2 linked regions of the Caenorhabditis elegans genome follow. The protein of the gene in region 1 purifies or fractionates together with the protein of each later gene. This does not show direct contact. Each region holds a gene or a part of one and is shown in the gene's direction. Other genes may lie near its edges. The genes, in order: mrps-14 and C29E4.12.

Region 1 (4,552 bases):
ACGCTTCAATTACATCTTTATGCCAATGTTCTACGTGGAAGACTTTCTATTCTAAATCAAAATGCTTTAGAAGAGACTCGAGATGTTTTCTGTAAAGAGATTCTTGGAATTCACACTTCGGAATTTGAAAGTGATGAAGCTCTCTTATTGGCATTGGATCAAGGATTGAACGAATTGCTGGAGCATTGCAAGGAGAAGGACAATCTTGAATCGGTCGACAGTATACCAGAATTACCAAGAGCTGAGGCACTGTGCGAAGCTTTGAAAGTTGTGGCGGTATTTGTTTTCTGTGAGTTTTATAGTCTTTGAGTCTTTGTAAAAATTAATTGATTATTTTATTAAATTTCAGTGGACAAGATGGCATTCAGCAGGCGTGCAGTCGACTGCCTCATTGCCAACGCGATCACCAAATTCGAGCAATTTGAAGCCAAGAAAAATGATTTCAATCGTGGAACTTATGAAAAATACTGTGATCAGATCGATTTGAAATTCATCACGGACACTCTCATAACCTTCTTTTCGCACAAAAAACACCGTTTCATCTACAATGAAAACTTCAAAAAGTTGATCTTCCAAGCATCGCAAGCGTTCCCATGTGATTCGAAATATGCGAAGATGCTCGGCGAGCTGCATTCCAGCGGTCGTCTGCAAGTGATGAAGCTTCAAGGATTCACCGACAGCAGAAATAGTATTTTGAATGCGAAACGAGATCAGCAATTTGATCCAGAACTTGAAACTCGTCTTCTCATGAACTCGTTGACTATTATGTTCTCTTGGATGAATGCAGCCAACCGGATTGGAGACGCCGGAAATCAAATCCTCTATAAAAATTGGAAACGAGAAGCAGCTAATACACGTGATCCGGCTATCTGGAGACAAGTTATAAGAGTTGCCAGTAAATTGTCACAGAAGATTCTAAAGGACGATGTGAGTTTTCAGGAAAAAAGGTTGTATGTGAAATTTAAATTTCTTACAGGCTTACACTCGTGCAAGAGGTCAATGTACATGGGCTCTCAATTTGCACTTTGATTATATTGAAGCAAAAACTGTCCGCAAGAATGGAGATCTAATGGAGATGATGTAAGTTCAATTATTGAGAGCAAAGTTTCAGTTCAAAAATGTAATTTGTTGTGCCCGATTTTTGAAAATAATCAACTAAGATTGATTTTATTACAATGTTCAAATTATCGAAGTATAATTAATTTAAATCGTATTATTTTTTTTCGATTTCTAGTCTAGTCTATATACAACAATACAATACAAAGCGAATAAATTTTATTAAAACGCTATGCAATTATAATCAGCACACATGCCAATGCATTCTAAATAACACTATTTACAGCTACCTCATTCTCGAACAAAGCATGGGACAAGAGCATAGTTTATTTGTGACCGACGAGGAATACATGAAAACACAGCAGGAAATTGGACTACAGTATTCCGAATCCGGACGTTGATTCTCTCTTTTTTGTGTAACTCGGCCTATAACTTTTTTAAAAATCCATTCCATATAATTATCCACCGGTATTCATTTCATCCCAGGAATCTTTCTTTCTTTTGTTCTTTCTATCCGACAGATTATGTTTATTTTTGTATTATAATTCTTCTGTCTTTTCGCATTTTTTGTTTCGGTAAAAATTTTTTGTTTTCAACAATGAAAATATTCGTTTTAATGTCATATTTCTTTCATCATGAAAGAGGTTACACTTCCTCCAACCAGTTCCTTCCATGCATGAATAATTGTATTAAATATGTATTGCAATGTATGTGCACAGATGTTGAGGGCACTCCGCGGAGCAGCGGACCTACTATCGACGGCTCTTTACAAGAATGAAATGATGATGAGTAGAAGGTGAGTATAGATTTCTCTAATTATTATTTAAACTATGCGAAAATCCTGCTTTTGGCGAAAAATTTTGATGTTTTGCTTTTTTTACACTCGAGAATATTTTAAACTTTCAATTTATAAAATTTGTTTAAGCGAAAATTTTTCGTTGAAAAAAGTGAACCTGCCACAAAATGGAAACGTTTTTAAAAAATTAATTTTTAGAATTTCCCTTTTTTTTCCGAAAACTTACACTTGAAATTAGAAGTAAAATGCAATTATTATTAAAATATTCGAAAATTCTCAACAAAAAAAAACGTTTGAGGCCTGCGAAATTACTCGTATTTTTGACGAAAAGTTCAATTTTTGCTTTTTTATTCGAAAAAAAAACTAAATGGAAAACTTTTTTTTTGGTTTTCAAATTTCAAAATTTGTTATTCGAACTCAATCCTTTTCTCGCGCTGAGAAAACAGGAATTATCGTCTTATGGCTTAATTTAAATGTCCAACAATTTCCAGATATTTATCAACTCCAGCTCCTGAACCTGCAAAACCATCATCTGAAGAGACTACGGAATCCACGGAACCGGCAACATCTGTAGAAGATGCTGGAGAACCTATGAAAGAGAAACGAATCACTCAACCATATTCTAGCGAGGCGCTTACAAAATTGAAACTTGATCAGTATCCATTGTAGGTTTTTGGTTTTTTTTGTATATTTTTGAAATTATTGCCTGCCGCTTTTTTATTCTCAAAGTGAGAAAGAATTGCACATAAACTATACACTTGTATTGAATATACGTTTCTATAGATACGTGGAGAGAGAATGGTGGAAAACCGGAAAACGAATGACATTCTGGGCGAGTTGGCGTCAGTTGAGAGATGTCAAACGACGTGAGCAGATTCAGGTTGGTTTCTATTTTTTATACGAATATTGTCATATGTGCTAAAAATATTTTTGGTTTTTATTTCAAACCAAAAAGGAAAAAAATTGAAATTTGTAAAAGAACCAAAACAAAAAATACCAAAAAATACGAATATTGTCATATGTGCCAAAAAATTTGTTTTAAAGGATTAAAGGATTAAAGGACGATCCGTTCTTCAAGTGCTATGCACTGCGGATCTGGGATTCAGGTACACTGCCTGGTGGTGATCCCTCTGGGCTGTAATTTAAGCCACGTCCTAGCCGGGGACTGTGGCCGATAATCCAGTCGTGGATTGCTCCACTTCCCAATAGAGGCTGGGTGAACCTAGGGGGTGAGGCCGGACTTGAACTCGTGACCTCCAGACTGCTAGCGGCCACCACTACCGACAGAGCTAAAAAACATCAAAAACCATAAGAATATTTACAAAATATAAATTGTTTAAAATACAAAAAAAAAATCGCATTTTTCTTCGTGCCAGAATACCAAAAAACACCAGGGCTGTCACCAAAAAAAATTTTCCATAAACAAAAAAAAGTTTTTCGCTTCTTTTCACATGTCTGAAATTTTTTAAATATTTTTTTTATTCGAAAACCACCAAAAAATCGTTATTGAAAATCATTACTTTTTAAAAAAACAAAACCCCACAAAACAGAAAACCCAAAAAAAAAACCATTTTTTGTGACGAAAAAACCAAAAAATTCCCTTTTTTATTAAAAAAACCCCCACAAACCAAAAAAACCAGAAAAAACCCATTTTTGTAACAAAAAACCCCCGACACCCCCATTTTTGACAAAAAAGCCTTAAACAAGCCCAGGCCTGCTGCTTGCCCTTGATTAAAATTTAATTTCAGGAAGTCGGCGCGGATCGTATGCGTCTAAAAGCTATCAAATTCAACACAATTCTCCCGCAAGCGATTCGTGACGAAGCAGCCGAGAAAATGCAAAAAGCTCGAAAATACGATCATCCTCGTCTGATTCTCAATATGTGCCAGTTCACAGGACGACAACGTGGAAAGATAAAGCCATACAGATTGAGTAGACACTTGTTCCGTCGATTTGCAGATAGATCAGCTCTCAGTGGAGTCCAAAGAGCCATGTGGTAGTGTGAGATAGGAGTTGTAGTTTTAGATTTATTTGTTTTCTATTTTTGATTTCTTCTTCGTTTTGAACACTTCTTTTGTTATCGATGCTCTTAATGAATTATTTTTGTTTTATTGTGATATAGATTATGATATCTCTGTATTGGTTATTGATCAATTAAAATACTTTTTTTTCAGAAAAATTATTATTTTCAGATGTTTTTCTGTCCATCAGTGTGCGAGCGTGCTCCACAGCCCCAATACAATGGGTCTCGTTAGTTAATTGGCGGCAAAAGCCTAAAAATTCAAACGTTTTATTTTTCGGCAATCAAGGATGTCTTCGAAAAATGTCTGCTTCAGAGATTCACTGTTTTGCCTCCAATACCTAACGAGACCCAACTATTGGAGGCGGATCCTGCTCATTTCGCTGCTGAGCGCGCTTTCACATTGATCTCAAAAAACGAATTTTTCTGCGGTGTCGGCTTCAAAAAAAATTTCCAGAGAAATCGCTATTTTTTCGTTTTCCCATTGTTCACAAATTACATTAAAATTTCGGTCAATTTGCTTCCTTTTAGTGAAAAAGTATTTTTTTTCTCTTATCAACAGGCAAAGTTTGATTCAAAAAATTTAAAGTAAAAAAAAGATTTCAAGATTTTCCAGAAAATCGAAAATTTTAATTTTTCGATTTTTAATTTTCTCTGAAACACTGCTTCCCATAATATCT
Region 2 (2,963 bases), on another chromosome or scaffold:
GATGTATGGCGAGAACTATGAATTGGAATTTTATAAATGGAAATATTACTGGGCAAGTTTTGATTGTGAACACACAAAATATAGTGGAAATTCAGAATGATTTCTTGGCATTTAATGTCTGCGTTTTATCCTCAACTCCCTTGGTATAGATGTGGTCTCGCACGGATTGATGAGAATAAGTTTCAAACTGAAAAAGCTTTTCATGTTCTAAGTATGATAATAATGTGCAAAAAAATTGAATCACGACTATTTCAGAATACATTACTTCTCATGTTAAGCGAGGATGGAAGATTTTAAGAGAAAGTAGTGGTAGATTTGATGGTGGAGGAACATATGTCACTTATACAAATGGAAAAGATTCCACCATTTTTGTAGAAACCATGGTAAGACTTTAATATTAATTATGAGAAATTGCTTCAAATGATTTGAGAATAAACATTTAATTCAAAAAATTTCAGAGTTACAAGAAATCTTTATGCGAATATTCATCTCCACGGCCATACCATGTCAAGCCAAGTCAACTTATTCGATTTAAATTCTCTGAAATTCCATCATTTCAAGGATTAAATATGTCATTAAACTTTGGACCTTCAAAGTTCTTTTCAAAATCTGTCAATTCTACAATTACCATTCTTCTTCCTGTTAATTCATTTGGAATACTCACTACACTTCCAGTTTCAACTCCGAAAAGAGTTACTATAAAAACACCATTGGTTCCTTTGAATTATCACGACGACTTTGAAAATTATGAATTCGACGAGGAGCCAAAGTTTTGGATGCCACAAAAAGGATCATGGGTGGTACGAAATGGACGGGCGGTACAGAAAGTGACACGCCCATCAATTAGTTGGTGCACCTCACACATTCGAACTCCATATGCAGTTATGGCGTAAGAATTGATGACTTTGACCTATGAGGAACTACAGTATACCGTATTCCCTCTAATATTTTTACACCTCTTTTCTCAACTTTGGCAGCTCATATCTCAGTAGTAGTTTGTTCTATAGAAAAGTTGTCAACTGATAAAAATTTAGATAGATGTTTTTTCTGTAGTTTGTAGTTTGTTAATTATTTATATGTCCAAAAAGGAGATATGAGGTGTCAAAGTTGAGCAAAGGGGTGCAAAACTAATAGAGGAAATACGGTATACGGTATTCCTTCCATTTAGGTATCGAAAGAAGAATAGTATTCTAAACGCCGAGGTCAATATTCCAAAACACTCAACAGCTAAATCCATCATTCTAGGTATAAGGAGTAATTGTAGTGGTATGTAATTAGTGTTGTGATTCATATTAAAATCTATTACATTTTCAGGATGTGACATAGAAGTAATAAACTGTCGTGGAATATTTGTTGAGATTGAATTTTCAAATAAAAAAGTAACTATATTTTCCGATTTCGTTGACCGTTCAATAATTGCTGAATTCAAAGCACGAAGAAAAGTAGAATTTGGAAAGTTTTATAAATTCTCAATTCATTTACTGGACTCGCATCTCTTCATAAAATTCGGAAATCATCATGTGATGACTTCAGTGGAAATTCCAGAAGAACAATTAAATAAGGTTATTAAAATAATCAATTGAATTTCAAATATAATGTTTTCAGACAAATAATGACACTTTATTCGTGATTGGCACTGGAAATTTTGGCATCTCCGAATGGGATAATATTTCAACAGATTATTTTCACTGAGGCTGATTAATTACATTCAAAAAGTATTTAATATTGCTTGGGCATGTTTCTATTAAAATAAATGTACCATTTTATAATTTACCACATTATTGGAAAATGTCAAAATCAATTGCCACAAAAAACTAGATTCAAACTTCCGCGCAAATGGTACCGCAACGATGCTCCGCGTTTCGCTAAACAACGCGCGCCTCACGCGCGCAGTTTGAATTGAGAACGTTTTCCTGTTTTCTTTTTTTGTCTGAATTGTGTTATTGTGCTATTTATTATCCCTTTTTTGTACATTTTCAAAATTAAAGTATGGCCTCTGCTGTTGGAAAAGGAGTGACCGCTTTCAACACCATCAAAAACATCATTTCGGAACTGAAAAAGGTCGACAAAACATTCTCCCCGAATTCGGCACAATATAAATACCTCATGGAGCAAATGAAAGCCGACCAGGTTACAACAAGAAGATATTCAAAAGCCGAGAACGAGTCAGAGAGCGTTGCAAAACTCTATTTGAGCTATATTAAAGGGTTCGTTTGTTTTATGAGAATAAGAAAGTAATAATCAATATCCATTCATTTTAGAACCCGACAGCTTAATGAACTTCAAGAGAGATATAAGGGTGGCGAGAAGAGTGTTGAAGAGGCTGCTGCTATTGTTGGATTGAAACTTCCAGAACAAAAGAAACTTTAAAATACTTAAAATTGTTATTTCTTTCTCGAATAGATTAGATTCCTGTTTTCTTTTCAATCAAAATAAAATACTTCGTTTTTAAAATACTATTCAGGTTTTTTATAACTTCCTTATGGTTTTCGTACCATTCTATATCTTTTTTATAGTTAATCATCGCCAGAGCATTGGAATTGTTGTTTCAGGTACAAATGACTAGGAATGCTCCTCCAGGTCAAGAATCGACAGATTTAGCATGGCTCGTCACACCCGCAAAAGATCTTGTCGAGAACTTCTCAATCGACGTGTTGAAAGTAAGGATAATTTTTTTTCACGGTTGTATCTTTTCTTTTTCGGTAAATAAAATAAATAATTGCTCGACTTTCAGGCACTCGCCGGATACCTCGAGGTTATCAGACAAGAAAGTGAAGACACAGATAATCAGGTGGATGCAGCGACAACTTACAGATTGTTCGATTTTCAACGAGCATGCCGGATTATTCAAGGATCGTGTGCCGTATATGGTCGAAAAGTAGATCATGTCTATGAACTGACGATTTCAGTTGTGGATTTAGTCGAGAACAAAGGTCAAGATGATGGAAACACCGGCAGTAGAC

The links.
Region 2: the proteins of mrps-14 (region 1) and C29E4.12 fractionate together in Caenorhabditis elegans (co-fractionation; one large-scale study listed by BioGRID). This does not show direct contact.

The regions. Positions count from the first base shown.
Region 1 is NC_003280.10:10,239,714-10,244,265, reverse strand, and holds mrps-14 (Small ribosomal subunit protein uS14m), read left to right. Parts: upstream 1-1,775; coding exon 1,776-1,852; intron 1,853-2,343; coding exon 2,344-2,517; intron 2,518-2,635; coding exon 2,636-2,732; intron 2,733-3,600; coding exon 3,601-3,852; 3' UTR 3,853-3,961; downstream 3,962-4,552. Other genes in the region: nrde-2 (Nuclear exosome regulator NRDE2), read left to right, coding at 1-289, 350-927, 977-1,080, 1,343-1,457.
Region 2 is NC_003281.10:7,939,165-7,942,127, forward strand, and holds C29E4.12 (Protein FMC1 homolog), read left to right. Parts: upstream 1-1,892; 5' UTR 1,893-1,989; coding exon 1,990-2,207; intron 2,208-2,261; coding exon 2,262-2,370; 3' UTR 2,371-2,450; downstream 2,451-2,963. Other genes in the region: C29E4.10 (Putative galactocerebrosidase), read left to right, coding at 1-52, 96-211, 256-383, 459-889, 1,169-1,266, 1,315-1,562, 1,606-1,692; Condensin-2 complex subunit kle-2, read left to right, coding at 2,559-2,660, 2,735-2,963.